Linked DNA regions of Struthio camelus. The protein of the gene in region 1 purifies or fractionates together with the protein of each later gene. This does not show direct contact. Links are inferred from orthologs where the notes say so. Each region holds a gene or a part of one and is shown in the gene's direction. Other genes may lie near its edges.

Region 1 (10,618 bases):
GCTGGCAGAAGAGAAAAATCTGAATTTTTTTCTCAGTAGACTTTCCCCATTAAGCAACATTTTTCTCTTCTGCTTAGACAACTGGTTCAAAGCAACAGTGACACTTCATGCCAGGCCCTCCACTCCCTTCTACTTTATACTCCCTCTGCAGCGGTGTAAATGATGAGCAGATGGCGCAGTGCAATGGAAAATCAGGTCTCTGAGGAAAAAAAAGAGTTGAGAATAGAACTCCCTTAAGCAGAAACCTACATGGCTTATTTCAACATAAAAAGAAAAACTGAGACCTTTGGGCAAAAAATAGAATATGCCTTCAGAGCGGTGTATTCAGCTTACGTAAAATGCCTCATTCCTTCCTATTTCAGAAAACATCCGTCCCTGTACAGCTGATGGGTTTCTTTATCTCATTTGTTGTCTTTCAGTTCATTGATCTTGTTTCGCAGTGCTTTCACTTGACTGTTCTTTGTTGAACCAACATCCACGGATATTTCTGAATTTTCTTTCATTTTTTACTTGCTTGCACACTGAAGGTAAACTTTTCAGAATTGCTTCCCACTGAGGCTGTGGCGTGACCTGAATTGCATCCATCTTTGTTTAAGTCCACTGAGGCACAAACAACCAGCCAAGAGATAGGTAAGAATATAATGTCAAAAATGTAATTCTATTCTTTTCATTTGTGCATGAGGAGGTAAACTACCGCTCGGAATTTGACCATTTATTCCAATAGGCTGCTCGTTGCGTGCACTGTTTGCGTTTGTGGTCTTTAAAGATCCTATTATGCCCTTACCTCACTCACCCCTCCTCAGAGTAAAACTTAACTTTGCTCCAGCCAGATTCCAACCCATGACATTCCTCTGGCTCTTGCACTGGGTAAGAATATTCCCTGTACTAGGAGAAGAAAACACCTTACGTCATTCACTGTGCTATATGGTGTTAAAGAACTGTTGTATTACCTCTCAGTTGGCTGCATTTTGGTGACCTAGATCCTGTTTATACTAACTGAAAATAATTTAGCAAATCTTGGTATAAAAACTTATCTAAGATTATAAAGGGCTGTTATTTATTTATCTGGAGTGAAGCCCACACTTTTTCCCCCTTCAACAACTACATTACACATTGCTCTTTTAACTGTGTATATCATTTCTGTATAGTGCAGTAGCATCATTCTGCACCCAAACATTGCCAGAATTTCTCCTGAAAGAGGAATGGAAAACCTCCTTATGATGCACTCTGTCTATATCTACCTGTCTGTGCCCAGGATGGGAGAAACTCTTTATGATTTTTGGAACCTTTCAGGCCCCCTCATCTAGAGAGCAAAGTTTCTGATAGAATTGGGACAGAAAGCAGTCGTCTTCCCTGCAGGAAGAAGAGCAAGTTCCTGGGAATTAGCATTTGTCTCCATTTCAAATGCAGCAAAAGACTGTCACGGTGCACATGCTGTGACTCGCGAACCAGGCAATAATCCTGCCAGCTGCTGCACACAGGCAGTGCCCTCTTGCATGGAGCTTTGTGCGATGTACGAGTACAGGGCAGCAAACTGAGCTGGGGCCTCAGAGGTCAGATAGTGAGCCCTTAGCACATTTGCATGGTTGTACAGAGAGACTGGAAGTATCTCAGTTTGCACCACTCTGTAGTTTTGACTGTGAGTTATTTGTTCTACAAAACTATTTGATTAAATCAAAATGCACCTGATAACTCGCATTTTACTGTGAGACACCGTGTGTATTTTCTGGATCTGAAACCCAGAGGCAAAGGCACTCCTTTGACTCATGGCAGAATATATATATTCAGAGATTTTAAAACAAAGTTAGTAGCAGTAGAGTCATAATCTTCTACAGGTGTAAGGTTTAAGGGAGAAGCAAAACCTTTCGTTAGATGAACTGAGATAGCTCAAGAGGGAAAGCTTTTAGGATCTGAGCATCTGGTCTATCAGACACAGACAGTCTAGTCTCATCCTGAGTCATGCCTCGATAACATCATCATCTACCAGGGCTCCTGGCATGGTATAGAGGCAGAGTTAAGCTCGTTTTTGTACCTGAGCAGGTACGCATGACCTGCAGACGCTTCTGGAGCTGGAGCTTATGTGAAACATCAGGTGCTGCGGAACACAGTAGACCACATGAAATGGCTGGGAGGGCTTATTAATGTGAATTAGCAACTGTCCACAGATTTACTTGAGAAATCATGCAAAAGAGCCTATCTGCCAACTTTGAGCTACAGGCTGTATGCACATTGCGGGGAATGAGGGGGACTGCATGTCCCCCTCATGCATGAGGAGCATGTCCTCAATTTGACACAGCACAACCAGTGAGGGCCAAAAACAAAGGGAGAGGAACAATAAATCTGCCAGTCGTGGTGTCATAGTGCTACTCAGCATAGACATTGAGATGGTTTGGAACCTCTCCCTCCTGCATCTGACGGAGATTGAGAAAATTAAATAAACAGCAGCATCTTTGGAATTAAGGTAGTGCATCTCAATGTCCTATTAACAATGCATCTCAGAGAACGATGACTTCTGTAACCAAATCACCTGAGTTGCATTACAACATGCCTGCTATCCTTGCTGCTATATCCATGCCTGCTGCAGTTGCTTTATCACTTCTTCCCTGTCCTTCCCCCAGGTAGGGTGCAGATACTTCCCACTGCTCTTCATTGTCTGTTCAAATCAGATCAATTTAAAAGGGTTATGAGAGGCTGTCTCTAATCAAACCATTTGTTATGTCCAGGTCTCCTTGTCTGTCTCCATTCCCAGATTTATCCGGAGACAATTCTCTCATGTTAGAGACTTGTTTCCCCTTTAGGACCAACTGGGAATATCCACCTAAAAATTGAAAAATAATTGGAACTAACAGAATGCTTGTGAATAGCTATCCTGTTACCTCTGCTCTGTGGCAGAGTTCTCCTCCCTACCATCTGGTTTGTCCTGACCTCGTAGAGATAAGCTCTCCAAAGCAGAAACTGTATATTCTTTTTTGTATTGTGCTTGACACAATGGGGCCCCAGTCTTGGTTGGTACTCAAATATTCATGTAAAAAGATCATTAAAAAAAAACAGACTTTTTTTCCCCATCAGTAATATGATGGAATTGCAAAGGAGTCGCAGAGAGTGTACTACGCTAAGAGCCTTTAAAATTCATTTAGGCTGCCTGGCAATGTAGGAATAATGAACCAGTGTATGTACTCATACACTGGAAGCCACTGTTGAGATTTTTCACATCCCCTTACAACGAATGGGAGCTGCATGTCCAGATCCTCTGAAGGGCTATGACAATAAAAACTGATATGTATAATGAAACCACACACAATTTAAAATAAGCAGTCTACAGAAGGTAGTAAGTAATGCATATACAAGAGATTAATAGATTTGGCCTTTGCTGAAGTTAATGCTGTACTATTAATTTTTCCTAGCACTTTGACTTTTAGATCTTGTTTTTGTACACAATATAACTGCATCCCAGACTTAGAGTGTTTAACAAGAAACTCATTTCTGTTGTCAGGGTGGTAGAACAAAGGCTGAAACTAGAGGGGTCAGAACACAATGTTCGTGCCATTTTCTTACAGTAGGATAGCTTAGAGATTACTGGTGACTGCTTTCTCCCCCAACTAATACAGCTATGGATACTCAGGGCACCTCCTGTCAAGAAGCTTGCTGAAGCTGTTTTGGCACTGCGATCAGTTTTGTACTTCTCATCCTCTTACGCAGCCTTCTACATCATTCCTTTGCTGACCCATCTGCCTTCATTTCCTCTTATGACTCCCTCTCGCTCTATGCTCACTCCTCTCTTCTGACTATTCTCGTGTGTCCTCCTCCTCCCATTTCTGGCCTGGTGCCTTCTTTCACTCCGCCCTGTGCTCAGTTCATCCTCCTACATGCCTTGGGCCACGTTTTCTCTCTATGGTTCAGACTCATTGGCTAATTAAAGCTCCTGCACTGGTCTTGCAGCAAGGCCTCCAGATCTCACTGTAGTGTGTCTGCTCAGGTATTATAGAGGTTTCATCCTCTGTAATATTTGTAAGGTTAAGCTGTTGTGCTGTTCCTAAGACAAATGATCTCAGGAGTGGATGAAAGGTTGCTTAGCTGAATAGGTTTATCTGTCTCCATCTAAAGCATCACTTTTTCCTAGACATAATCATTAATTGCCTCTATGTGGCTAAATGCACCTACGAGATACACAGCGGGGAGTCACAGCCCTAATTATTGCAGTAAACAGGAAATGCTAATGTCAATGGAGAAAACAAAACAAAACAAAATGAAAACAGGAAGCTAGCTGCAAAGATTTGTTGTAATTATTAGCCCCCAAAGCAGACAGTCTGCTTCTGGACTAAACGCATCAAACCTGCCGTAGACTGGCAGGGAGGCATAATCTGTCCCCTATCCTGATCTTTTACAGATAACTCGTTTGCAAGCACCTTGTCCTCTCTTGGAGCGTGTATCTGTTTCCATCTGTTTTAAGGTACCTTATTCCTTATTATGACTGAACTACGAGGTTTAGGAAAAACTCAACTAGATATGCTGTGTCGGTGACCAGCTACCTGTGGAATGGCATGTTCATCAGAGTCAGAGATGGGTGGGTTACCTGTGTTATGGGAATATGTGAAAATACACCAGTCAGTAAGATTTTACTGCACAAAGTCTATTTCAAATATTGTACAGACCACGAAGCTTCATATTGCGTGTTAGGATAACTCTGAAATGCAGTGGTGTTAGAAGGGTTTGAAGGTTATCTCATAGCTTCACCTATAAGCAAGAAACAATTTTTCTAAAGATCACTTGTAGACAGAATCAGATACTAAGATCACTTGTAGACAGAATGGGGGAAAAAATGAGGAAGAAAATGCTGCTGGAGGAAAAGATGACAGCGTGCAGCATCATATAGGGAAGCTGAGGCAGAGGAGGGAGCAACGACGTTAAGGAATAAGGAGTGGATTCTGAAGTCTTAAAAAAGAAGGAAAGAGATATCCCTACTGAGAGCAAGCAGTGGTACTAGATAAGAAAAAGTTAGTGGAGAATGGCCTTAGAAAAACAGGATACAAACATGCTGCACAGATAGAGCCATGGTGAGAATTAGTATTCGCGCTTGGAATGTGAAATTCAGTCAAAATCAGTGGGATCGTTTTCTGCTGATTTTGGTAAACCAGAAATTCATCTGTGGTTTACTCTACTGAAAATTCAAGGTAAGTCATTTAAAACTGCATACAGATTGTTCCAGGTCCCATTTGACGTACCTGCCAGCCGAGGGGAACATCTGCTGTGGCAGGTAACTCGGGGCATTTCGAGTTTTCCTACAGGGACTGTTCTAAGATCTAAATCCCACCCACTCGTCTTTAAGAAGGCAATATCCTTTTCCACCACATCAATCACAAGAGTCAAATTTTTGGTAAAGCGCCTATCAGCCTGAAATAAACTGTACGCCAGGCCGAGCGCATTATTTATTGCCTTGCTTTGGATAGTAATGAAGAGCCTGCGATTTCAGACGGAGCAAAGCAAACGCAGCTTTTGCCCCGAGGGATCACGCCACATGGCTAAATTGTGTAATCAATCATTTCTGTCACGTGGCCACACGGAGAACGATTTTTTTTTTTGTATTTGTTTTTGCAGTTCGTAGAATTTTAATTCTGGAGGGTTTTTTACGCCAAAAACCTCGCCGGCGGCAGCGTGCACTGCCTGGGTGCTCCGAGGGGGCGGCCGCCCCCGCTCTGCCACGGGGCCGCGGCGGGTACCGCTAACCGGCCCGGGCCTGGCAGCCGTGGGCACGGGAGGCTGCGGGGCCCCACGGCGGAGCCTCCGCGCTCCCCGCACCGCCGCCAGGCCCGGGCCGCGCTCCGTGAGGGGGCGCGCGGCGCGCCGCGACCGTTAACGGCCCCGCCCTCAAACGGGCCCCGGCGGCCAATCCGCGCCGCCCCCTGGCGCCCGGCGGCCCCGCCCCTCTCCCCCCGCGGCGCGTGCGCAGGCCCGGGCGGCGCGTAAAGGCGCGTCTGGGGCCGCGCTGCCTCTTCGCCGTCCCGCCTCGCAAGATGGCGGCGCCCGCGGGCTCGCCTCCGCCTCCTGAGGGCCGGTTCCGCACGCGCGACGTCCTGGTGCCCGGGGGCCCCAGCGACTTCGGCTCCTTGCTGCTGTCGGCGCCGGTGCTGGCGGGGCTGGAGGCGGCTGGCTTCCACAGGCCCTCGCCGGTCCAGCTGAAGGCCATCCCGCTGGGGCGCTGCGGCCTGGGTGAGGGGCCGGGGCCGGGCCGGGGCGTCGAGCCGGCAGCGGGGGGGAGAGGGGGCGTTGGGGCGGCGCTGCTGACCCCCTCGGGCCGCTTTCTTCCAGATCTCATCGTGCAGGCCAAGTCCGGCACCGGCAAAACCTGCGTGTTCTCCGCCATCGCTCTGGACGCCCTGCTGCTGGAGAACCCCGCGACGCAGGTGAGCCCCGGCCCCGGGGCCCTTGCCGGGGTCGGGCCTTCCCTCCACCTCGGGAGCGGGAACCGCTGAGGTGGCCTTGGAAGATGGCGCGTTCGCATCTGTGAAACTCCTGCTTCCACCCCTACTGTAACGTGCCATCCTTTAGTTTGCCTCATGAGTGACATGTGCTGTGGTAAAAAGTTACTTCAGTTTTTACCGCTGCTGTGTGAGTTTAGTAGTTAGGAACGAGTTTGAACTCTTAGTAGGTTTTTATATAGAACGTGGTGTTTGAAATCATGAAGCTGGTAGCGTCAAGACTGGTTGCTGTACTTCTGTCTTCTAAACCATTCTGCTGCTTTCAAGGCTAATTCTTTGTCCCTTAAAGATTCTGATCTTGGCTCCGACAAGAGAGATTGCTGTGCAGATTCATGCTGTCGTCACAGCCATCGGAATAAAAATGGAAGGTTTGGAGTGCCATGTCTTCATTGGAGGAACTCCTTTGAACCAGGACAAAATAAGGCTAAGGAAATGCCACATAGCTGTTGGCTCTCCAGGTATGGACATGCTTCAGTGTACTTCAGATACAGTCTGACGCACTTTTCACACTACAATAATTGGTGCTTTTGAAATCTTGATTTTTTTTTTTAACTAATGGGGCCAATCTCAAAGGCCACTGCTAAAAAAAAAATTAGGCCAAATGTTTTTATTGAGACATTATTTTAAATAAACCTTTTAAAAAGAATTTATTGAAATTAATATTAAAAAAATTAAATATTATAAGTCTCCTGATTAGAATCATTCAGTTAATATTTGTGAAGCCTAGATTACTTTTTTATCTTTTGTAGGTCGGATAAAACAACTCATAGAGTTGGATTACTTAAATACAGCCAGTATCCGGCTCTTCATTCTTGATGAAGCAGACAAGCTTCTAGAAGAAGGCAGCTTTCAGGAACAAATTAAGTAAGAAAAATGTTTATCCCCCACACTTAGCAGATTAGATGCATATTTATGAGTCTTTCTTGTAAATGTCCTTCTCTTGTAGTTGGATTTACTCTTCGCTGCCGGCCAATAAGCAGATGCTGGCTGTTTCAGCCACTTATCCTGAATCATTAGCTAGTGCTTTGACCAGGTATATGAGAGAGCCAACATTTGTGAGGTTGAACCCTACTGAGCCAAGTCTCGTTGGTAAGTGTAAGAAACTCATTTACATTTATATGAAATAGATTATTAGGAGTATAATAAAACCAAAATATATGCCTTAACACTTGCAGTGCCTTATCATTTCCCTTTATAGATAAGTTGGTTAGTTCACTAAGTGTTTATTCGCAATATTGCTGTATTTAAAACACCAGTGATAAAGTTACTTTTTTGGTTTTCCTATACTTCAAAAATGTTCCATTCTTTTAAGAAAAATTGTCCTGTAGGTTCTTATTTGGTACCTGTGTTTTTGTTCTAACTTAGTCTTTCTTCTAGCTGCAATTACATTTAAGTTGACAACAATATAGCACATTGCATGTTTTTACTGAAGCCATTAATCTGATGGCCTTTTTTTTTTCCCCCTTGCCCAGGGCTGAAGCAGTATTACAAAATCGTCAATTCCCATCCACTTCCTCATAAGACATTTGAGGAAAAAGTCCAGCACTTACAGGAGCTCTTCAGCAAGATTCCATTTAATCAAGCCTTAGTCTTCTCAAATTTGCATAGCAGGTAATAAATCTGAAATGAAATCTGAAGAAAACTATGCTTGAAAACAGTGGCTATAATATGCAGTCATGTAGCATCTTTTATAAAGGTCTCAAAACACAGCTGAAGCCAAATGCAAATTTCAGATCTGAAATACAGTCACAACATGTAAAATATAGCAGTGTGAAGTATTGAAAAGAAAGGAATGTTTTGGCATGAAGTTACCTCATACGTTGTTTAGACTGCAGTGAGAACTAATATCCTGTCGTACTTTCCCAGTCTGGTCTGACAGATGCAAAATCTGTAAGGTGACTGACTAGTTTGGACATAAGATGAGACTGACAATTTTGGAATGTAATCCTTGCCTGTAAAGAACAGCATGTTGTTAAAAAGGACACATTGACTGTTATGCCTAGCACTGTCTTGGTACTGCTAAGCATGTAGTTTTATTTAGTTTTCATTGTGTATGTCCTGTTAGGGCTCAACATCTAGCTGAGATACTGACATCCAAAGGCTTTCCTGCTGAGTGCATTTCAGGTAAGTCTGTTCAGAACTTTGTGATTCTCTAGGCTGAAGTTTGTGCATACATCTGATCTAAAATGGGAATATTCAGCTTAAAAGCTTGGTTTGTAAGACTTCTGTTTGGATAGCAAAGAATAGTATTTGAATCTTCACAGGTCTTTAAAGACTTGCATGTTATTAATCTAATTTTTCCATTGATCAGCTTTTCTACTTTTTAATCTGTTGCTGACAGTCATTATATGAATATCTAGACAAGTGCATTGATTTATTTTTAAAGAGAAAGTTTATTACACTTGCATCTTCAAGCAGTGTCTGTTTGGAAAGCTGTTGTTGCATTTAAATCCCCCCCCCCAACTTCTCTATTAACGGCTGATAGCTAGCTCTTACGGTTGTTAGAAGCCTTCCTTTGAATTTCTCCTTCCACAGTGGTTTTCATGGCTACATGTGCTTTTGTTCAAGTAAAACTTTTCTAAAGTCAATGTTATTCAAGTGAGTCAAGTATATATGTAAAAAAAGTAGGAATTTTTGTAATGGATTTCCTTATTTTCAAGTTTATTTTGTTTGCTTCTTGCTAACTCATTTACAACTAACGTTTGGGGAAGTTTCTCTCAACTTTATCTCTAATCTCATCTATGCTTTACAAAGCAGTGTTTTCCAGAATTTGAGGAGCAAGAAACTGAAGAAGATAATCTGTTTCTAATGTTTATTTCAGTTTCTAAGTATAAATTTTTGTCTGTCTAGGTGGCATGAATCAAAATCAACGACTTGATGCTATGGCTAAATTAAAGCAATTCCATTGTAGAGTTCTTATTTCCACAGACTTGGTGAGTTAGTATTTTATAACATATGCAAGAATTGCATATATATTGTTTCAGGGTGTTAAACTTGACTTGGAATTGAATGGATCTTAAACATACTGATAAAGTATGTGACTGAAGAGCACTCAATGCGACTTGTTTTCACTGCGAGATTGAGAAGTTGTACCCTTTTTCTCATCTGTTTCAAAAATCACAGTTTCAGCAGAGTGGAGGTGCTTACTTTGAGTAGACACTGTGAGAAGGAGTATGTTTTAGTATAGTAAGCTCAAAACAGTAACACCTCAAACAGCTTTAGGGAGAGCAGTGGTTATGTTTCTTGTCTGAGATTTCTGCAGCTTTTTTGTGGTCAGTGGTTCTTGTCTTTAATTGCTAGCTTAAGGTTCTGTCATGCTGTGGGGTTGAGTTTTTGATGTTGAAGAAATACACTTGCTCGTGTTGCCTATACAGAAGGGATAAGCAAAATGATCCTGGTGTTGCATGGCCCCAGTGTGATATGCTTGTTCTACATGTTAATACCATAAGCTGATTGGACAATTGTAGATGCTTTATCTGCAATGTATTGTGATGAATAGAGGTTACTGTACAAGCAGTTAACTCCCAAATGTGCTGTGGTATCTTTTAAAGATCTGTTCTGTATATTTACTTAACTCCTTTTTCCAAGACATCTCGTGGAATTGATGCTGAAAAAGTGAATCTGGTCATCAATCTGGATGTGCCTGTGGACTGGGAAACATACATGCATCGTATTGGCAGAGCTGGACGCTTTGGTAAAATAGTGTCATGTGGATTTATCAAGCTTGAGCTAGCTTCCCTGGGTCTGGTTAGGTAATTATACTTTCTGTTGTGTATCGTAGGAACTTTAGGCTTATCTGTGACATACTGCTGCCGTGGACAGGAGGAAAACATGATGATGCAAATTGCACAGAAATGTAATCTTCGGCTTCTTCCCTTACCAGGTATGCTCTGTCCTGTGAATGCAGCTCTGTGGTGGTGTTGGTTGTTTTCTGCTGCTAAGTCAATGCTTCAGAGAAGTCTACAGTGAACTGACATACACCTTCTCGGCTGAAGGTAGCTACCCTGAGCTTAGTACAGTCAGGTCATTTGTACACAGTGCTGATGACCTCTGCTGTGAATGTGTACCTGCCACAGTTGTACAAAGCGATAGAACATGAAGAACTTCAGTGCATGCCTGTGGGTAGAGAGAGGAACTCAGCA
Region 2 (8,082 bases), on another chromosome or scaffold:
AGCTGATCCAGATTTTTCACATCTATCAGAAATTTGCAATCCTTATTGAAAAAAAGTATTTTTAGACAAAAGTTTAATTTTCTCATTCTCAGCAGATACGTTCTACAGAAAATTTGTAGGTAAGAGCTGATTTTCCATTTCACCATGATTTATAATGGTAATTCTTCCACTATGCCTACTGCTGAAGAAAAACATTAAATTATTTCCTTGCAAGATTAGCTTGAGACTTAGATTCTCTCCATATTTTAACAGGGTTGCTACAGCAGTAAAACTCTCCCAGTGGCGCACACAACTTCAAAATCCTTCCAGGTCCATGAGAGTCATACCACTGTGTCCCCAAGAAATTAGAATAGAAAGACTGTCAGAAATCATCCCCCAGTCAACATGACTGTACAAAGTGTCTAGCTTAGGCTGAGGCACCATACCACCTAATATCTTCAAGAACCAGACACTGAGGTCTGGGAGATCTGCAAGAGGCAGGAAGGAGAATGGTATACTGCCAAGTCATCTTCACCTGGGACAGGTTAGCATGGGAAGACCACTGGGTCTTTACACAGCTGAGTCAAGTACAAACCCAACAGAACCAGAAGGTGAAGTTCATCCCATTGTGTACCCAAGCTAACTCCATGCTGCTGCACTGGATTTACTTTCATGTAAATCTGTCCTTTGAAGGTGCAGCCTCCTGGTGGAGCTTCCTATTTGGTAATACAGCTCTCCTCACTCCTAATTCATGGCTGCACCTTCACGTCTGTTTTAAGTTCTCTGATTGCAACTGCTGCCCACCTCTGTGGTGTCTGTGTTGGTGCTGCTAAGACTCCAGCAGAGACAAACTATGTGGTTATCAAAAGTAGCTTGCTTGATGTGGGAGAACAGTGCAGCAGAGCAAAACCCCATTTACACTGGTATATCATTAGGAAAAGGTGTGGGACATTAATTATGTCTGCAGTCCAAAAGTGGAAACATGGGTAGCTCTAGAAATTTTCCTAAGAAATGTGTTTTTGACAGGCAGCATGGAGTTACTGCAGGGAGTTCCTGTTTCAGCACATTCAGCTCAACCAGGAAATATTTCTGGGCAGCTCAGCTGTCTTGCAGCAATGAGAGCTGAACAGGCGCTAGCCTTCTCTCCTCAGTATTAGTGACATGGTGTGTTGACGATGTCAGTGAGCATTTGCGCTTACACAGATAACACCGTCTAATGTATCGCTTCATCAGAAATGCTGCTGCCGCCATCGGATGTTCAGCTGCTTAATGTGTTTCCTTAGGAACTAAGTGTAGGCAGTCATGCTAAATTCCCACCTCTGAGCTGTAAAAGAAAATACTATCCATCCACTCAAGATCTAAGGTTTGTATTAATCTATGACAAAAACTCTTTCCTGTTCATTTCCTGTTGAGCAACAGACTAAATATCCTGACTCAAAGGCTGAAAAGAATGCAAACTATTACTCGGCATGGGGAAGTACAAAGAAGACAAAAGGTGAAATTCACCCCTGTGCTGAAGGTCAGGAGAAGACCCACGTAAGCAGACTGTCTCTGAGTCAGAATGATTCAATCAGCAAAGTAAACAGCAAATTCCTCAAAGGAGAAAAAAAAAAAGAAAAAGCTGTTCTGTTTCCTGATTAACCAAGTTATCCAGTTATCTACATGAGATGTAGTCATGCATTCTGTGCTTCCAGCAAAGTACTTCTTCCTACCCTACCAACACACAAAACTGCTGCAGACGCAATGTACAGTTGACAAGATCACTGATGTGTGAATTCATGCACTGATTATGAAACTAGAAGTCAAGCATTCCTGCTCTGTACTCTTGCTCAAGAACTGCTGTCTATGACCTTGCAAATTTTCTATTTTTTTGATGACAACAATGGTTTTGTAAAAACAGGGCTGCAATATTTAGTCATCTGTCAGAGGAACTGAGTGAATTAAAACCTGAATGTAATTGCTCCTGTATTACCTGGTATCTAAAAAGTTCTCCCAGCATGAGTTGGAGACGCTGTGATCAAAACTGGCTAAGTATACAAAAATAAGAAAAGTTGTTTATAGATAACATACCAAAACTGCTATATTGGCATTCACAGATACATATATTTATCCTTAGCAGTTGTCAGAAAAATGCAAAAATGACTTCCACAGCATGATTTTATCCAGGAGACTGGCTCTAAACTCATTGGCATTCTGCCACATTGTTCATGTCATTGCTGGAAATCAGCTGTTTTTTTGCTCCAAATGACATGAATAATTTTGCTTTTCCTGTATATTGCTTCTTCTCAACCCAGGCTTTCTTATAGAAAGCTCATAACACAATTGGAATTACTCTCTCAGCTGGCCCACAGTGAATCTTGCCACCAGAAAGACTATTGGCTTAATTCCAATGTTGTCTCTCTTGCCTACAATAAACTCCAAAGGAAAATCACGCTCCTTTCTAAAGGTGACGGAAACAAACATCTGAGAATGCTTCTGATACATGATAGTTAAAACGAATCATAAAGGCCAATCTTACATACTCCTACCCAGCCATAAAAGAATCTCTAACACTGTGCGTGAAAGCAGCCTGGCTCAGGAGAAGAAAGACTCTTCGGCTCGACAGCATTAAAGACTCAGATTTAAGCAGGTAATGATGTTTTTTGCTTCCAGCAGAAGGAAGCTGGACTATCCTCTGGAAGGTAGAGTGCACCAAAAAAAAAAAGTTCTGTTACAGAAAGGTTAGCTACTGAACATGTGTGTTTTCCACATAAGCACCCAATATATTAAATATGAAGGGAATATTCCGTAAGCAGGTACATAAATTCACACATATAATAACGTAAGACGTGGATTAGAACAGACAACATAGACATTAGCGTAGACATGACAGATTAGTAAATGGTACAAAGATTGGTTAATGTCTCGAAGATTAAGAGTCAGGAATTATAGCCAGAGCAGCAGGGCAGAAGTTTCATGACCATGAAAACATTGATGCTCTCTACAGCCAAGAAAAGCTGTGGCAGCTTCTTTGCCTGGGAGCAAAGCACTAGCACTATGGCAAGGACATAGCTTATTCGTCTTTTAAACTCTCAGCCTTTCCTGTGTATGAAGTAATGAAAGAGTATTGGTTTGCAAATTTATTTTTATATGGGAATTGATTCCACCGTGTTTTGACCTGCAACACTTGCAGATAACACTAGAAGGAAAGTTCGTTAGCAGAAGTCTCCCGTGTGGTGCCGCAGTCATCAGCCAAGTCAAACACTGCCACCTCGTGGACATATATCTGTATAGACACACAGCTATAACAAGAGATGTGAGTAAATATATTCCTGAGCTGAAAACAGTCCTCAACGCTGTCAAACTTCGAGAACAAAACGTTAACGTCTGGAAAAGACCGCCTTCGACTCCAGCGTAGTCATTTTCACACCCTCACAAGTGTGTACGTGTAACTTACACGCACACAGCCAGGATCGCTAAGCTGTGACAGATTTGTGCTCGGCTGGGAGAGGAGGTGTTACTCTTGCGGTACAATTTGCAAGGCGAAAGAAGGTTTCTGCCGGTTTGAGGGGAAAAGGCTCACCAGTACAAGGGAGACATGGAGCTACTGGAGAGAGTCCAGCAGAGGGCTATGAAGATGATGAGGGGACTGGAGCATCTCTCCTATGAGGAAAGGCTGAGAGAGCTGGGCCTGTTTAGTCTGGAGAAGAGAAGACTGAGGGGGGATCTTATCAGTATGTACAAGTATCTGAAGGGAGAGTGTCAAGAGGATGGGGCCAGACTCTTCTCCATGGTGCCCAGTGAGAGGACAAGAGGCAACGGGCACAAAGTGAAACACAGGCAGTTCCATTTGAACATGAGGAAAAACTTCTTTCCAGTGAGGGTAACTGAGCACTGGAGCAGGTTGCCCAGAGAAGTTGTGGAGTCTCCTTCCTTGGAGATATTCAGAAGCCATCTGAACGTGATCCTGGGCAATGTGCTCTAGGTGACCCTGCTTGAGCAGGGGGGTTGGACTAGATGATCTCCAGAGGTCCCTTCCAACCTCGACCATTCTGTGATTCTGTGAAAAGAGCACGGAATCAACCGCTCGGGGCCTGCGGGGCTCTCGGGCACGAGGTAACCAAAGCAGAGAGGGAGGGGAAGGCCTCCACTCAGCTCATGGGGTCCTGAGGCAGCTGGCACGGAGGCGGGAGGCGGCTCCCGCCGGCCCTGACAGCCCGCCCGCCGCCCGGCTCCCGCAACGGCCGCCCCGGCCCGACTCCGCCCCGCTCCCCCAACGGCCGCCCCGGCCCCGCCCCCTCCCGGCGCCGAACGGCGAGAAGCGCAGCACAAAATCGTCGCCGGCAGCTACGGTGCCGCTGGCGGGACCGACCATTGGTTGGAAGACGGCCGAGCTGCGCCAGCTCGGCCAATGAGGGAGGCCCGTGGCAGCCCCCAGCCAATGGGCAGCGCCGCTTTTCTCTTGGCGCGCAGGGGTGCCGCATCCTATGGAAACTGCGGCGCCGCGGGGTGAGAGGTCGGAGGGCAGGGCGCCGCCCCGGAAGCGAAAGCCGGAGCGGGCCTGCCTTCCCGTGGCTCCCGGTCTGCGGCGGGCGCACGTGCGGCCCGGCAGCAGCTTCTCTGCGGCCTGCGCGTCCCCCTCGGTCGCTGCCTCGCCATGGTGAGGGCGGCGCGCGCTCGGGCCGGGCCGCGCTCGGGCCGGGCCGCGCCGCACCGCGGGGGAGGGGGCCGGGCGGGCAGCGGGCGCAGCGGCCGTTATTAACGGTCTCGAGGCGGCGGGGCGGCGGCCGTTATTAACGGTCTCGAGGCAGCGGGGCGGGGCGGGCGGGCGGGGATCGGGCACGCTGACCGGGCCGCTCTCGCCGGCAGAGCCTGCCCCTGAACCCCAAGCCCTTCCTGAACGGGCTGACGGGGAAGCCGGTGATGGTGAAGCTCAAGTGGGGGATGGAGTACAAGGGCTACCTCGTCTCCGTCGACGGTTACATGAACATGCAGGTGAGGCGGCGGTCGGCGGGGCGCGTCGCCGGGGCACGCTGAGGTCTTTCGGGCTGGGGCAGCCCTGTGCTCGACTCGGAGCACCCGCTGCTTGGGGGAGGTGGGGGGACGGGCACTTTTAAAGGATCTGTAGTGTCTCTGCTGCGGGCTCGACCGGAGCCGGGTGAGAGCTGCGCATGGCCTCCTGCGATCAAGGTGGCCAGACAGCAGCCGGTGGGCAAAACGTGGTGCTTTCTGTGAGGTTTTCTATTACGATCACTTTAACGCTTGCTGGTTTCCTTCTTAAGCTTGCAAACACAGAAGAGTATATAGATGGCGCCTTGTCTGGACACCTTGGTGAAGTTTTGATAAGGTAAGGTAATTGGGGCTCTTATGGTGGAGGCAGAGTCTTTCTAAATTTTTTCACATCAGTTGTGCTAAAACTTGTAATGCTAGGTGCTGTGTTTCCTGTGTAAGTATATACCAAAATAAGCATTAATGTAATTCCTGGGCAAAGACTACAAACTCTTTTATGCTGAGATTCCTCCTGAAGAGAGGAAAACTGAATTTTGAAGTACTCGTAAATAAATATTTATGATGCCTCTCTTAAGTAATTGAATGCCTTAGTTTTCCCGAGTATTGTAGATTATTAATCCCTTAGCGTTGGTAGAGTAAAATTTTACATGCTTGCATATTAAGCTTGACCATAATTGTTAATCCAAAAGTAAAATTGTCTTGTACAGCATTGTTAATCAGTTAATACTTTAAAAAAACTTATTTTTTGCAGTTATAATGAATTTTGTGGAAAAGCTGTGCAAGGTCAACAGCAACAATTTACTATGCAGAATTTTGCTGTTGCTGGGCTACTGTCGTACAGGAAAATGCCTAAAATGATGTATATGTGAGGAAAATTAAAACCTATATTTACAGCTAAGGGAATTTTTTGATTCTGTTTACAGGTGCAATAATGTTTTGTACATCAGAGGTGTGGAAGAAGAAGAAGAAGATGGAGAAATGAGGGAATAGGTGTTTTGTATATCTGGAAATAAACTTTTTTCTTTTTTATTTTCCACAACTTTGTAATAAGGTGTTTACTTCTCGTTCTCTGTATTTTAATATGGAGGAAGCTAATGCTTAAATCACTTGTAATCTCTAAATGGCATCTGGAAAAACTAATGCTGGAGGAAGAAGAAATTGTTGCAGTTTGAAACTGAGAAACTCAGAGTGAAAAGTGAGTATTAAAAGTATTGTCATACATTGAGACTGGTAATACTTAAAAGCTTTGGGTTTCGGTTGTTTTGTTTTTTAAGGCGATCATTTGAATTTAAGTGATTCCCAGAGCTGAATTAAATCTTCCAAGCTGTGTACTCTGGGAGAAAATATATGGCTCATTCTTTTATCAGCTCCATTTAGTATCAGTACTTGGCTGTCAGGTAGCCATAATGCAGTGCAGGCTAGCATATAATGGAAGATAAAGAACTCCCCGTCTTGTGTACGTGGCTTGTTCTGCTGCTCTAAGCTGAATGGATGAGTAGAGTGAAGGAGCTTGCAGGAACAGCCTTTTCTCTCTCTAATGGTGATGATGCAGGCTGTAGAATGAGCAGTGGCACAAACCTTTTAAAAACATCTTGATGTGCCTGCTGCAGAGTACTGGTGCTTTCCTAATGATTCCTTTTGCTCTCAACTGGTTGATTAAGAAGACAGCCATAATGCTGTGTTAACCCTGTTTTCAGTAGGAAGTAAGTTTCACCTCTAAGTGAAAAACTCTGAGTCATCTTCAGTATTTGCAGGGACTTCATCTTTAACTACCTTCTTTGCTTTAACGGCTGGAGGCTGTGAACGAAATACCAGTCGTCTTCCCGTCTGAAACACAGGAAAATACAGCAGTGTATATACTTTACGGTATGTACATAGTTGCTATTAGAATACACTTCATCTTTAAATGTGTTTACAAACTATTTGGAAGTAGTTGCAAAGACCCCACAGTAGATGAAATACAGAGATCCACTATAGTGCAGTGTCTCTAAGAAACGCTCTGCTTCTCTGAGTAATGAAGCAAGCCTGAAGTATGGTTGTAGAATCATTATTAAGGAAAGATGCAATCGTACTGACTTTGTAGCTAATATCCACACAAAGAGGAGACTGTTAGCTCCCATAAATGTCACAGAATCACAGAATGGCCAAGGTTGGAAGGGACCTCTGGAGATCATCTAGTCCCCTGCGCAAGCAGGGTCATCTAGAGCATGTTGCACGGGATCATGTCCAGGTGGGTTTTGAATATCTCCCGAGGATGAAGACTCCACACCCTCTCTGGGCAACCTTTTAGTGCTCTGTCACCCTCACAGTAAGTAAAGAAGTTTTTTCTCAGGTTTAGGTGGAACTTCCTGTGTTTCAGTTTGTGCCCGTCGCCTCTTGTCCTATTGCTGGGCACCACGGAGAAGAGTCTGGCCCCATCCTCTTGGCAGCCTCCCTTCAGATACTTGTACCCGTTGGTGAGATCCCTTCTCAGTCTTCTCTTCAGGCTAAACAGGCACAGCTCTCTCAGCCTTTCTTCAGAGGAGAGATGCTCCAGGCCCCTCATCATCTTTGTAGCCCTCTGCTGGACTCACTGCAATAGCTAGCTCCATGTCTCTCTTGGACTGGGGAGCCCAGAATGGGACACAGTACTCCAGATGCGGCCTCCCCAGGGCTGAGGAGAGGGGCAGGATCACCTCCCTCCACCTGCTGGCAACACTCTGCCTAATGCACCCCAGGACACCACTGGCCTTCTTGGCCACAAGGGCACATTGCTGGCTCATGCTTAACTTGTCTACCAGGAAACCCAGGTCCTTCTCTGCAGAGCTGCTTTCCAGCACGTCAACCCCCAGCCTGTCCTGGTGCATGGGGTTATTCTTCCCCAGGTGCAGGACCCTGCACTTGCCTTTGTTGAACTTCATGGGGTTCCTCTCCACCCAGCTCTCTGGCCTGTCCAGGTCCCTCAGAATGGCAGCACAGCCTTCTGGTGTGTCAGCCACTCCTCCTAGTTTAGTATCATCAGTAAACTTGCTGAGGGTGCCCTCTGTCCCTTCATCCAGATCATCGATGAACAGGTTAAACAATACTGGACTAAGTATTGACCCCTAGGGGACACTGCCAGTTACAAGCCTCCAT
Region 3 (9,326 bases), on another chromosome or scaffold:
ATAGAACAAACTTCTACTACTATTGTAATGGTAAGTGCACAGTCCATATCCCCAATAGGTGGTGCTGCACCTTTTTCATAGGGTTTAATTGTTGTAATATTGGACCCCATCACCTAGGAAGGTGAGTACTTCTCGAGTGAAATGAAGTCAGGAATCTAGTAATAATATATATTTTTTTAATATAAATAAGTAAGTGTTACATTTCATTTGGTAAATGAAATAAAGTATGTCTTTTTAGCTTAGCGGTTAGTACAGTCACCTAGGTATAGGGAGACAATATTAGGTTTTGGTCCCTCTACTGCAGATTATTATTTTACTGATCACTCTTTTCATCACAAGTAAACAGTCCCTGGAGAAGAGACCCTCCGAGTCTATCTACCATGTGAAAACATTAGATGATAGAGTCACGGTCGTTTTCTCTTTTGTTCTGATCTCATTCATTTTATATTATTATTATGCAAAGCAGGATAGAGAATATGTGAGAAATCTAATACATTACATCTAATACAATATAAGTTAGAATCTCCTCAGAGTCACAAATCAAATCTACATGATCTTTCTCCAAGTAAAAATTCTTACCGTTTAACATTGTTAACAATGTCTAACAGACGTTCACAAAATGTGGTTTTAAAATTAATTCAGTTTCAAAAGGGGAGGGTTGTTACTTAGTGAAATCAATGCACATTTTCTCACCAGAAGAGAAGCCATATATTTGCCACTAGACTATTTGTATGTGAAATATTTATCCCAGATGATTGCCGCTGCTGATATAAGTCATTTTTAAAAGCTGTTCATAAATACCATTTTCTCTTCCAAAATGACTAAAAGCTGCTTGTTTTTTCCAAAAACAATGATTCCTTCTTTGGCAGATATCAGTTCTGGGAAATTTCAACTTTAAATCCAGCAGTTATGGTAGGGTATTGTGGCCAACAGTCAGTCAAATCTTTCTTTAAAGAAAAACATTTTTGAATGTTTCAGCAATTCTTCTTAAACTACTGCGTAATTGTTAATATAGTGCATGAGGAGCATGTATATAGGAATGCTTTTATAGAGTTTTCAAACCACATTGGCCTCAGTCTTCTCAAAAACTGGTGTCTTTTTTGGCGAAGTTGCCTGGTAAGGTGTAATTAGTTTTCAGTGCGCTCTGGAACATCAATTGTCAGGTAAAATGATTAAGAGAAAGCTTTAGAAGTAAAACAAGTTAGCAGGCCCAAAATGAGCGTGTGCCCTGTAACTGCAAGAGGAGGGTAGACAAGAGCTGTAACTCTCCTCTTTCCTCGACACACAGAAAAGTTGCTGAAAGTGCAGAGTAGCATGAAAACAGCCTAAAGGAAGAACAGAACTTGTCTACATGAGAAAACAGTAGTTAAATAAAACTATTTAACTGATTTACTATTTAACTGATTGTGCAAGTCCGCAGTCATGTATACACAGTGATAATGCCCTTTTGCTTATAAAGTTCTAAATCCACAAAAATCAGCTCTAAATCAATATGAGTATATTGCAATCTAGGAAGTTCCAGGTATTAATTGCTGTTTTCAGCATCTATATTTTCCAGGTAATTTCTGAAATCAATTGCAGAGCGTCCTCTGGAGCCCAAGAGAAGTGTGGGCTATGTGTTTACCATCTTGTGAAACCTCCTGCTGTATATCACCTATCTTCTACTGCTTGTTAGCTTGTGCTGTCTTCAAACCGCTAGCAGGTACAATCATGAGCAGATATTTTTCTTCTCTTTTGCAGCCGTGTGCGGTGTCAGATGAAGTTCCATGTGGGTATATCCCTTCAGCGTGTAAGCTTCACTGACCATTGCTTTCACGCCAGCATTTCACGAGCCAAATGGTGTAGAAAGGTGGGACAGGAAGATCTGCGTTTCTAGAACTACAGGATGGGGAGAGGGCCTTTTTCCTGGAAGTCTGTACTGAGCTCATGCCACACATCTACCAACATGAGCAGGTATTTCTTCACGTGGAAAAATATAATGCAGTAGTTGTTGCTCCTGTCCTTTCTATCCGTGTTGCGGGCCCCAAAGGTGTGAATGTTATGATGGAGGTTAGCTCAAGTGCTACTGGTTGAGGCGACCAAATTAGGCAAGCCTAGATTACTGATGTTTTTGCGAATGTAAGTTGTGTTGTTTTTCTGAGGAGACCCATGCATCTGTTATTTGTGGGTTTTTTTCCTCCCCCTAGGAATTGCCGTTGGAGTCATAATTGGGAAGGACTATTTTACTGCAGTATGCAGTGATGGTCCTGGAGGTCCGTTGACCAAATCCTCTTAACCTGAAATATAGCCCTCATAACCTAAATCTGTGCACTTTGTGTGGTTAAAATTTTTACAATATGAAAGCTGATTCTCCCAAAATACGACTTAAGAGTACAAACTTATAAATGAAAAGTTTATGTTATCATACTTGAAGTAGGTCAGCTTTAATAAAATTTTGGAGTGCTAATGCATCTGATTGTCTAATGCGTGAGGTGTGCTAATGGTGGTGGTATATATGTTACTGCCACATCACATCAGATGCCAGGCTAAAAAGTCACTAATTTTGAAATGCTGTGGTTACTTGTGATGATGGCTTATTTTCATCTTGCATTCTGTGAATAGCAAACATAAACCATGTAATTTATCTTGCTAAAACAATAAATAAACTGCTGATATGATAAAAGCTATACTAGCTCCCCTCCTTCTAGTCTCTCACATGAAACTTTTGAACACGTGCGTGTAGTGGTAAGTGCTAAGGGAGGACCACAGCTACTTAGCTGAGCCGCTGCTGAGGTGAGGCAGTAAATTTAGGCTTAATGTGTGAGATCAGGTGATGGCTACTGGATGCTAACTTCTCCATGATCATCACTTTCAATAGACCATTTTCGAGAGACCAGTGTATTTTCATGCTCTCTTGTCCTTAAATGCAGAAGATCTAACAGGCATCGTACGATGCATGTTAAACTTCCTAATCAGAAAGAACAGAAGAGATTGATTTAAATATAATATCAAAACCTTCGATGCTGATACAGGGGCTGCATGAGTTCCCACTGTCACCTCAGCATTTAGTACCGTCTAATAGAGCAGAAGCGCAGAGTTGCCTCAGATGACTCTCTTTTGGCTCGTTGTTTTTTTGGATTTTGTTCTGCTTCCAGCCTCTGGAAAGACTATTTAGCATAAACAAGGAATTAATGGTGTTTATGCAAAAAATCTACCCAAATCCTCAGAGGGGACAACAGCAATCCCTTTGACAGCTCCCTTGGCTGTCTTCAAAGTCTATCTTTACAATTTTGCTACAGTATGTCTCTTTACCGATTTTGACTCATGATTTTGTCCTTTATTTGTTTGCAGTTACCAGTAAATTTTAACTTTCTGGCAACTAGAGGAGCCTGGAGAATAATCCTTCCCCTGGAAAGTCTAGTGGTGACAACGGTTTTAGGTACAGTACGCTTGAAATGAAAGCTGAGCTCAGAGTAGAGACTTTTGAATATCTATCAGTATGACCCAAAGGGAAGAGTGGATGTATAGCTGACGTAACTCTGGCATAGTGGGATGCTTCTGTAGAGCTTCAGATGTAAACTGGTGAAGGAGGATGCTGGCTTGACTGACAACGCAAGCAGTACGTTCACCTTGTGCTTTAGCACAAGTAGTATTTACTGAAGGAATTCAGTTGACTTTGAAAGGGCTTTACTGTCCTGGGATGCTTCCTTTCAGGCTTTTTTAAGAGGTTTCATCTAAATGAGAGGAGTAGAGCAGGTACGTGAAACTATAGATCAGCGTTGCTATATTCTAACTCTGTAACTAACACTTTCTGGTGGCAGCGAGTGGCATCAGCTTGCCTTTTGCATCCATAACAGGCTTTAAGAATTTTATTCCTACTTTCTCCTCCTGAAAGGAAGAAGTACCAATGAGGTGATTTCAAAAGGATGACGACTCTTGAAGGAATCATCATCATCACTGCTATCTCTGGGTCTCCGTGCATCATACTGACCAATACTGTCTCTTTCACATTATAGAAATTACTGGTTGGTATTCTCCTGTATTAAATTTATGACCAGAGATTATCTTGTAAAATACGCTAGGTACTAGACCACAGCTGGGTTTCATAAGTACGACAAGAAGTGGATGCAGCATGGAGGTGTGAGATCCACGAGGTGAGCGATCCGAGGTTTTTCAGAGCAGCGTTGCCCTTGTTGCGTGAGGCTGTGGGGAGGAAGAACTGAAGGAACTAAACCCCGTTTTCAAGTAAACAGGGCATTCACAGGCAGTACAGATAACACTGACGCCGCTCCATCATCCCTGTCACGTGGCGTAGCTAGGCAGGCCGCCTTAAAGTAGCGGAGAGGGAGCTAGAGGAACTTAGTGTTTTATTTACCAAGCTCTGGTAGAAAGAGGGGTCTCCAGCAGCCCTGGCTGCAGCACACACTTTGTTTTAGCCTGACTGATGACGATACACCTGCCCGAAGGCCTCGGTTCTTCCCGGTGGGTGACTCCAGGGCCTAGAAAGACCCGTTCGTGCTGGGTTAGCCACACTGGCAAAGACTGTAAAAAGAGCGGAGGGCTCTGAGGGCGCGTGAGCTGTTCGGCGCCAGCTGATGAAATCCGTGGAGGGGAAGGGAAGAAGACGAGGAGGCGGCGGGAGAGAAAGGGGGCGAGCGCCGAGCGGCCGGGGCTGGCGCCGCGGGCGGCGGGAGGGAGCCGGCGGCGGCGGGCGGGGCGCCCCTGCCCCGTGACCCCCGCGGCTCCTCCCTTCTCCCCACCCACCGCCCCGCTCCTCGGTGCCGCCGAGTAACCTGGTTTCCCGGCGTCGGCCCGGCCCTTCTCCTCCCTCTTTTTTCCCACTCCCCCTCCTTCCTCCTCCCCCTTCGCCGACAGCGTAGCCGGGGCTCGGGCTCTCTCGCTCCCTCCTCCCCTTTCCCTCCCCTCGAGCTGCCGCCGCGGTAGGGAAGCCGGAGAGAGGCGCCGCCTCCGCCGCCGTACACGGAGACATGTACCCGGGAGCCACCTCCGCCGGACCCGGTGAGGTTTGGGCCGCTTCGGTTTCCCTTTCCCTCACCTCCCGCCCCGCCGACTTTCGCAGTCGCTTCGCGGCGTGTTGTGGAGGGGTTGGGTGCGGGGGTGGGGGGGGGGGAAGGTTTGAACTCGGGCTCCGTGTGCGGCGTTGGGGGGGGGAGGGGGGAAGGCGGAGGAGGGGTGTGTGTGTGGGGGGGGGAGGTGGGTGACCGTTGGCGCACGCGGCGGTCTGTCAGCGCGAGGCGCCGCACGCGCCCCCTCTGCCCCCCCCCCCCCAACCGTCGCCGCCGCGAGGCGCCAACGGCCGCCGGCGAGACGTTGGGGGGGGGGGGGAAGATCCGCGCGGCCGCCCTCCCCCCCCCCCCATCCGCCCCCACCTCAGTGCCCTCCCGGCCCGGGCCTGCTCGCTCGTAGCCTCCGTCCGAGGCCGCGCTGGCGGGGGAAGGAGGGGTCAGGCCGCCGCCGCCGCCACCACCTCGGGGAGGGAGGCGAGTGAGCCTGCGTGTCCTGAGGCCCCTTCGAGGGGAGGGTCGCCGTGTGTTCTGCCCTCCTCTCCCCTTCCTTCCTCCCTCCCTCCCTCCCGCGGCGGCGAGCCCCGAGGCAGCGGGGAGGGGCGAGAGGAAGGGGCTGCCCCGCTCCCCCTTGCCGGGGCCCGGCTCTGTGGTGGCCGCTGGGGCAGCGCCAAGCGGCGGGTCACCCTCGGCCGCCTCGTCCCCCCTCTATGCGCTTACGTGCCGCCTTGCCCCGGCCGTTGGTGCCAGCTCGGCCTCCTGCTGGCAGCGCGGCGCGGACGGGGGCGGCGGAGGTGGTTGGAGAAGGGGGGGGGTGCGGGGGGGGTCTCCATTTCCTCCCTCGCAGCGGCCGGGGGTGCCGCGGCCGCCTTTGCCCGGCGGCGTGTCTGCAGCCGCGGCCTGGCTGTTGGGGTGCGGGCGGGGGCTGCGTCCCGCTGTCCCATAGGGATCCGGTGAGGTTCTCGCCTTCAGTCGCCCTTCAGACTTCGGTGGATTTTTGTGAGCGAAGGGGGAGGAGGACGCGGGCAGCAGAAGCGCTAGCAACTTGCTCGGGGACGCTAGTGTTGTTCAAGGGGAAGGATAAGTTAGTATTGTGAGAGCTTGTGTCGTTAGCGTGTAGTTAGCCTAACGCTCGAAAAGAAAACAACTCTCCTAATGTAGAAACTATTATTTTTACCTTGTTTTTTTTTTTTCCAGAAAAAGTTTAAAAGTGAAACTTCCTGTATTTTATATTACTGTTCTTCATAGGTTTGTGTAAAATCTTTTTCCCGTGAAGGGAAGATCTAGTAAGGAAAAGTGCAGAACAATATAGGACCTGTAGCTCGGACCCTTCTACTGTTTCTCTCTTGCAAATGCTGCCACAGTAGCAGCATTCACCTTAGGATCTACAGTTAGGTGCTGGCTTCCTCTTCCCCCCCCCCCCCCCCCCCCCTTTTCTGTCTGATACTATTACCCTGAAGGAAAGAGAATCGAGAAAGGACCGGGACGATAGCTGTCCTTTTAGGAAAACCAGAAGAGCTATATTCTTCCTTGCTTTTCTTCCTGTAGTTCATGAAGGCTTTTACTATACACAGCAGGAAGACAGACCGCTGTAGCCGCGTGCATCCAGACTGATGACGTTCAATACTTTGGTTTTAAGTATTGGGCTGTCTTCAAGTTTCAGTACCAATAGCTGTGCATAAATACTTACTTTATCATTTGCTTGGCTTCTAGTGTCAGGTTCTCTTGTTCACTTTCAGTGTGCAGATAATCTTGGTGCTTAAATTGTGCTGCTGTTAAGGCTGTTACGTTCACCCCTTATTGTTACATCTTTTGCAAAATTGTATATAAGGGTTCTTCACCTATCTGGAGGTGGGGTTTTTTTGTTTTGTTTTTTAAAGGAACCAAATCATTGAAAAAATTGCCAGTATATGGACTGAGAGCAGGTTTACATGTGGGAGCAGTCTATCTTCTTCCGTTTGCTCTTTATCTGATCCTAACAGTGTCCCTTCTACACAGAATGATCTTACTTCCACAACACTGGCACAGGTGGTTGCTGTTTACTGCCAGATCCAGTGCGTATGTGTATTTTTCCCCTTATCAGAACAACCCTCTCTGAGCCCCAGAGAGCAAACACCATACCTTTACTGAGCTGCTATTTCTCTGCAAGCACTGCTGTCCGGTGCCGCAGGCTTCTGCTATTCCGCTCCCTTCAACTAAGCTCGTCTTCTGTCTCGTTTACTTCCCAGTTTATCTTGGGCTCAGCTTTTTTTCCCTCTGCAGAGCCAGGCAGGGACAGCGTCTGGTCTAGAGCACGAGCTGCAAGTTGTTGTCCGCATCGTTTCCTTCCTGTGCAGTCATCCACAGAGAGCCTTACCAGGGCAGTGGCTTTTAGCAATCCGAAAAAGCTTCCCGTTCTGCATCAAATCATACGGCAGGACCTTTGATTAGAGTTTTTAAAGAGGGAAGAGCTGTATTGTGAACCAGTCTGGAAACGGAGACTGTCAGCAGGGTGCTTGGTTTTGTCCTGTAGGCTAAACGTGGCCTGTGCACTGCTAGTGAAAGTCCCCTTCCACGTGTTAATCTGATACGTATCAAGCGAGCGTATGCTGAGATCCTCTTCAGAGGAATGAGCGAGCAGGAGTGTGGTTCGCAGACGTTCAGTAAGGCACAGCTGCTGTAAGTGCAGGAGAGCTCCAGCCTCTACATGTCTGTCACCACATCCTTGACGCAGCTTAAATGCTCCATTCATATCTCTTGTAACTTGGGTCTGGCCGCTGTTTGGTGGTTCGTTGAACGATGTTGCAGCATACGAGCTACTTTACTCTTCCTGCTCCCGTCACCAAACTGGACACCACAGCCATCCCTGTTCTGAGGGTGTTTGTGGTGTTGGCCCTCTGCCAATGTAATCACTCAATTTGCCACAGGGTTTGCTATTTTAATCTTCATTCTTTTTCTGGAAACAGTATAAAGCAAGTTAGGAGGCTGCATCTGACTAATTTAAAAAAATTGCAGCTAAACCTGGAAACTTTGTTCTAACATGCTGTTACATTGGGAGTAAAATATTTTTATACAAGAGAGTAAGATGTTTGTGTACAGATCACGTTTTTATGATTAGAAAAGCTATGATCTCCATTCCTTTTTCCCAAAATATTGTTCAGCTTTGAGACTTTACACTGGTGCTCCTTCTCCTTCAAGAGACTATAGAAAGACTACAGTTTTGAAAGTATGAAACTTTTTTTTTTTTTTTTTTAATTAATATAGATACTTTTTAGGATGTGTTTTCCTAGAAGGACAGGAAGATATCAAGGAGGTATAATAAAAATACTGTTGTTAGATCAGTTGAGTTTGAGGAAGTGATTGAAACTTGCACAAACTTCTGAAACTTGCACTGCTTAGTATTCACATATTTATAAATTCTAAACTTTGCATGCTATAGGTTGTCTCTTTCTTTATTTGAAAGAATATTTGTTTTTGTTCACTATCTGAGGTTTTAATTTGTTGTTGAAGGAGCACTTACTTGGAAAAAAGGTGACTTCAAAAAAAAAAGGGGGTTGTTGCTTTACGTATAAAATAAACTTTTTTTTTTTCCTGGTATGAAAAACAAGTTTGAGTTTTCTGTAGCAGGCTGTTGGCACCTGCCTCAGTAACACCAAGAACTCCCTTGTATCAAGGGTCTCCTCATCACCTGCCCAATCTTTTACTTCTTAGAAAGCCTCTTAATATTATTTTTAGGTTGAAACTGGGCCTGTTTGTATTGTGCTGTCCTGCTGGTATCACATGTTTGCACAGGTTTTTGGGGCTTAATTTTAGACAGTAAATTATGTTGAAATTCATTATAAGCTGCCATATGTAAAAGAGGAAATGATAATTTAATATACAGCGCGCTCAATTTTTTTTTTTGCATGAGACTTTTTTTTTTTTTTTTTAGACTTAAATCACATTTGACAGCCTACAATGTACAAAACGCAGGTAACTTTTTTAAAATATTGTTGTCATGGCCAGTATATTTTCCTAAGAAAGGAAAAGATTCCATATTATTGTTTCCACTAGCTGCATGGTCTTAGGTGGCTTAAAATGAGGGAGTTATTTGGTGAAAGGATGACTGATGTTACACATACGAACCAAAGCTTTCTCCTTTTCTTAGTGAACCAAAGATTCACTATGTGAAAAGTGAAAATTTTCAGCAGTGACTCTGACGTACTGACTATGCAGTAATGCAGGATTTTTGTGCGTTTATTTTTCCGTCAACTTGAAGTTTTTCCTTTTTGCAGAAATATCAGACACTCATATATTCAACTGTGTTTTGTAATGTGTGTAGAAGGGAGTGCAGAGGTCATGTGG

What was found. Proteins that work in one complex are often made in the same cells at the same time.
Region 2: the proteins of DDX20 (region 1) and SNRPF purify together in Homo sapiens (affinity purification with mass spectrometry; 5 studies listed by BioGRID and IntAct, counting the BioPlex papers as one, with this or other methods). This does not show direct contact. The link is inferred for Struthio camelus from reciprocal best matches to the Homo sapiens genes DDX20 and SNRPF.
Region 3: the proteins of DDX20 (region 1) and AGO2 purify together in Homo sapiens (affinity purification with western blotting; 3 studies listed by BioGRID). This does not show direct contact. The link is inferred for Struthio camelus from reciprocal best matches to the Homo sapiens genes DDX20 and AGO2.

Annotation. Positions count from the first base shown.
Region 1 is NC_090965.1:9,048,220-9,058,837, forward strand, and holds the start of DDX20 (probable ATP-dependent RNA helicase DDX20), read left to right. Parts: upstream 1-5,931; 5' UTR 5,932-6,011; coding exon 6,012-6,207; intron 6,208-6,306; coding exon 6,307-6,401; intron 6,402-6,765; coding exon 6,766-6,934; intron 6,935-7,225; coding exon 7,226-7,340; intron 7,341-7,422; coding exon 7,423-7,565; intron 7,566-7,948; coding exon 7,949-8,087; intron 8,088-8,541; coding exon 8,542-8,600; intron 8,601-9,326; coding exon 9,327-9,409; intron 9,410-10,064; coding exon 10,065-10,170; intron 10,171-10,257; coding exon 10,258-10,359; intron 10,360-10,618.
Region 2 is NC_090942.1:52,290,956-52,299,037, forward strand, and holds SNRPF (small nuclear ribonucleoprotein F), read left to right. Parts: upstream 1-4,315; 5' UTR 4,316-4,615; coding exon 4,616-4,618; intron 4,619-4,827; coding exon 4,828-4,953; intron 4,954-5,240; coding exon 5,241-5,305; intron 5,306-5,891; coding exon 5,892-5,958; 3' UTR 5,959-6,007; downstream 6,008-8,082. Other genes in the region: CCDC38 (coiled-coil domain-containing protein 38), read right to left, coding at 6,685-6,795. UniProt on the Homo sapiens protein: Plays a role in pre-mRNA splicing as a core component of the spliceosomal U1, U2, U4 and U5 small nuclear ribonucleoproteins (snRNPs), the building blocks of the spliceosome.
Region 3 is NC_090943.1:168,309,236-168,318,561, reverse strand, and holds the start of AGO2 (protein argonaute-2), read left to right. Parts: upstream 1-4,751; 5' UTR 4,752-4,967; coding exon 4,968-4,998; intron 4,999-9,326.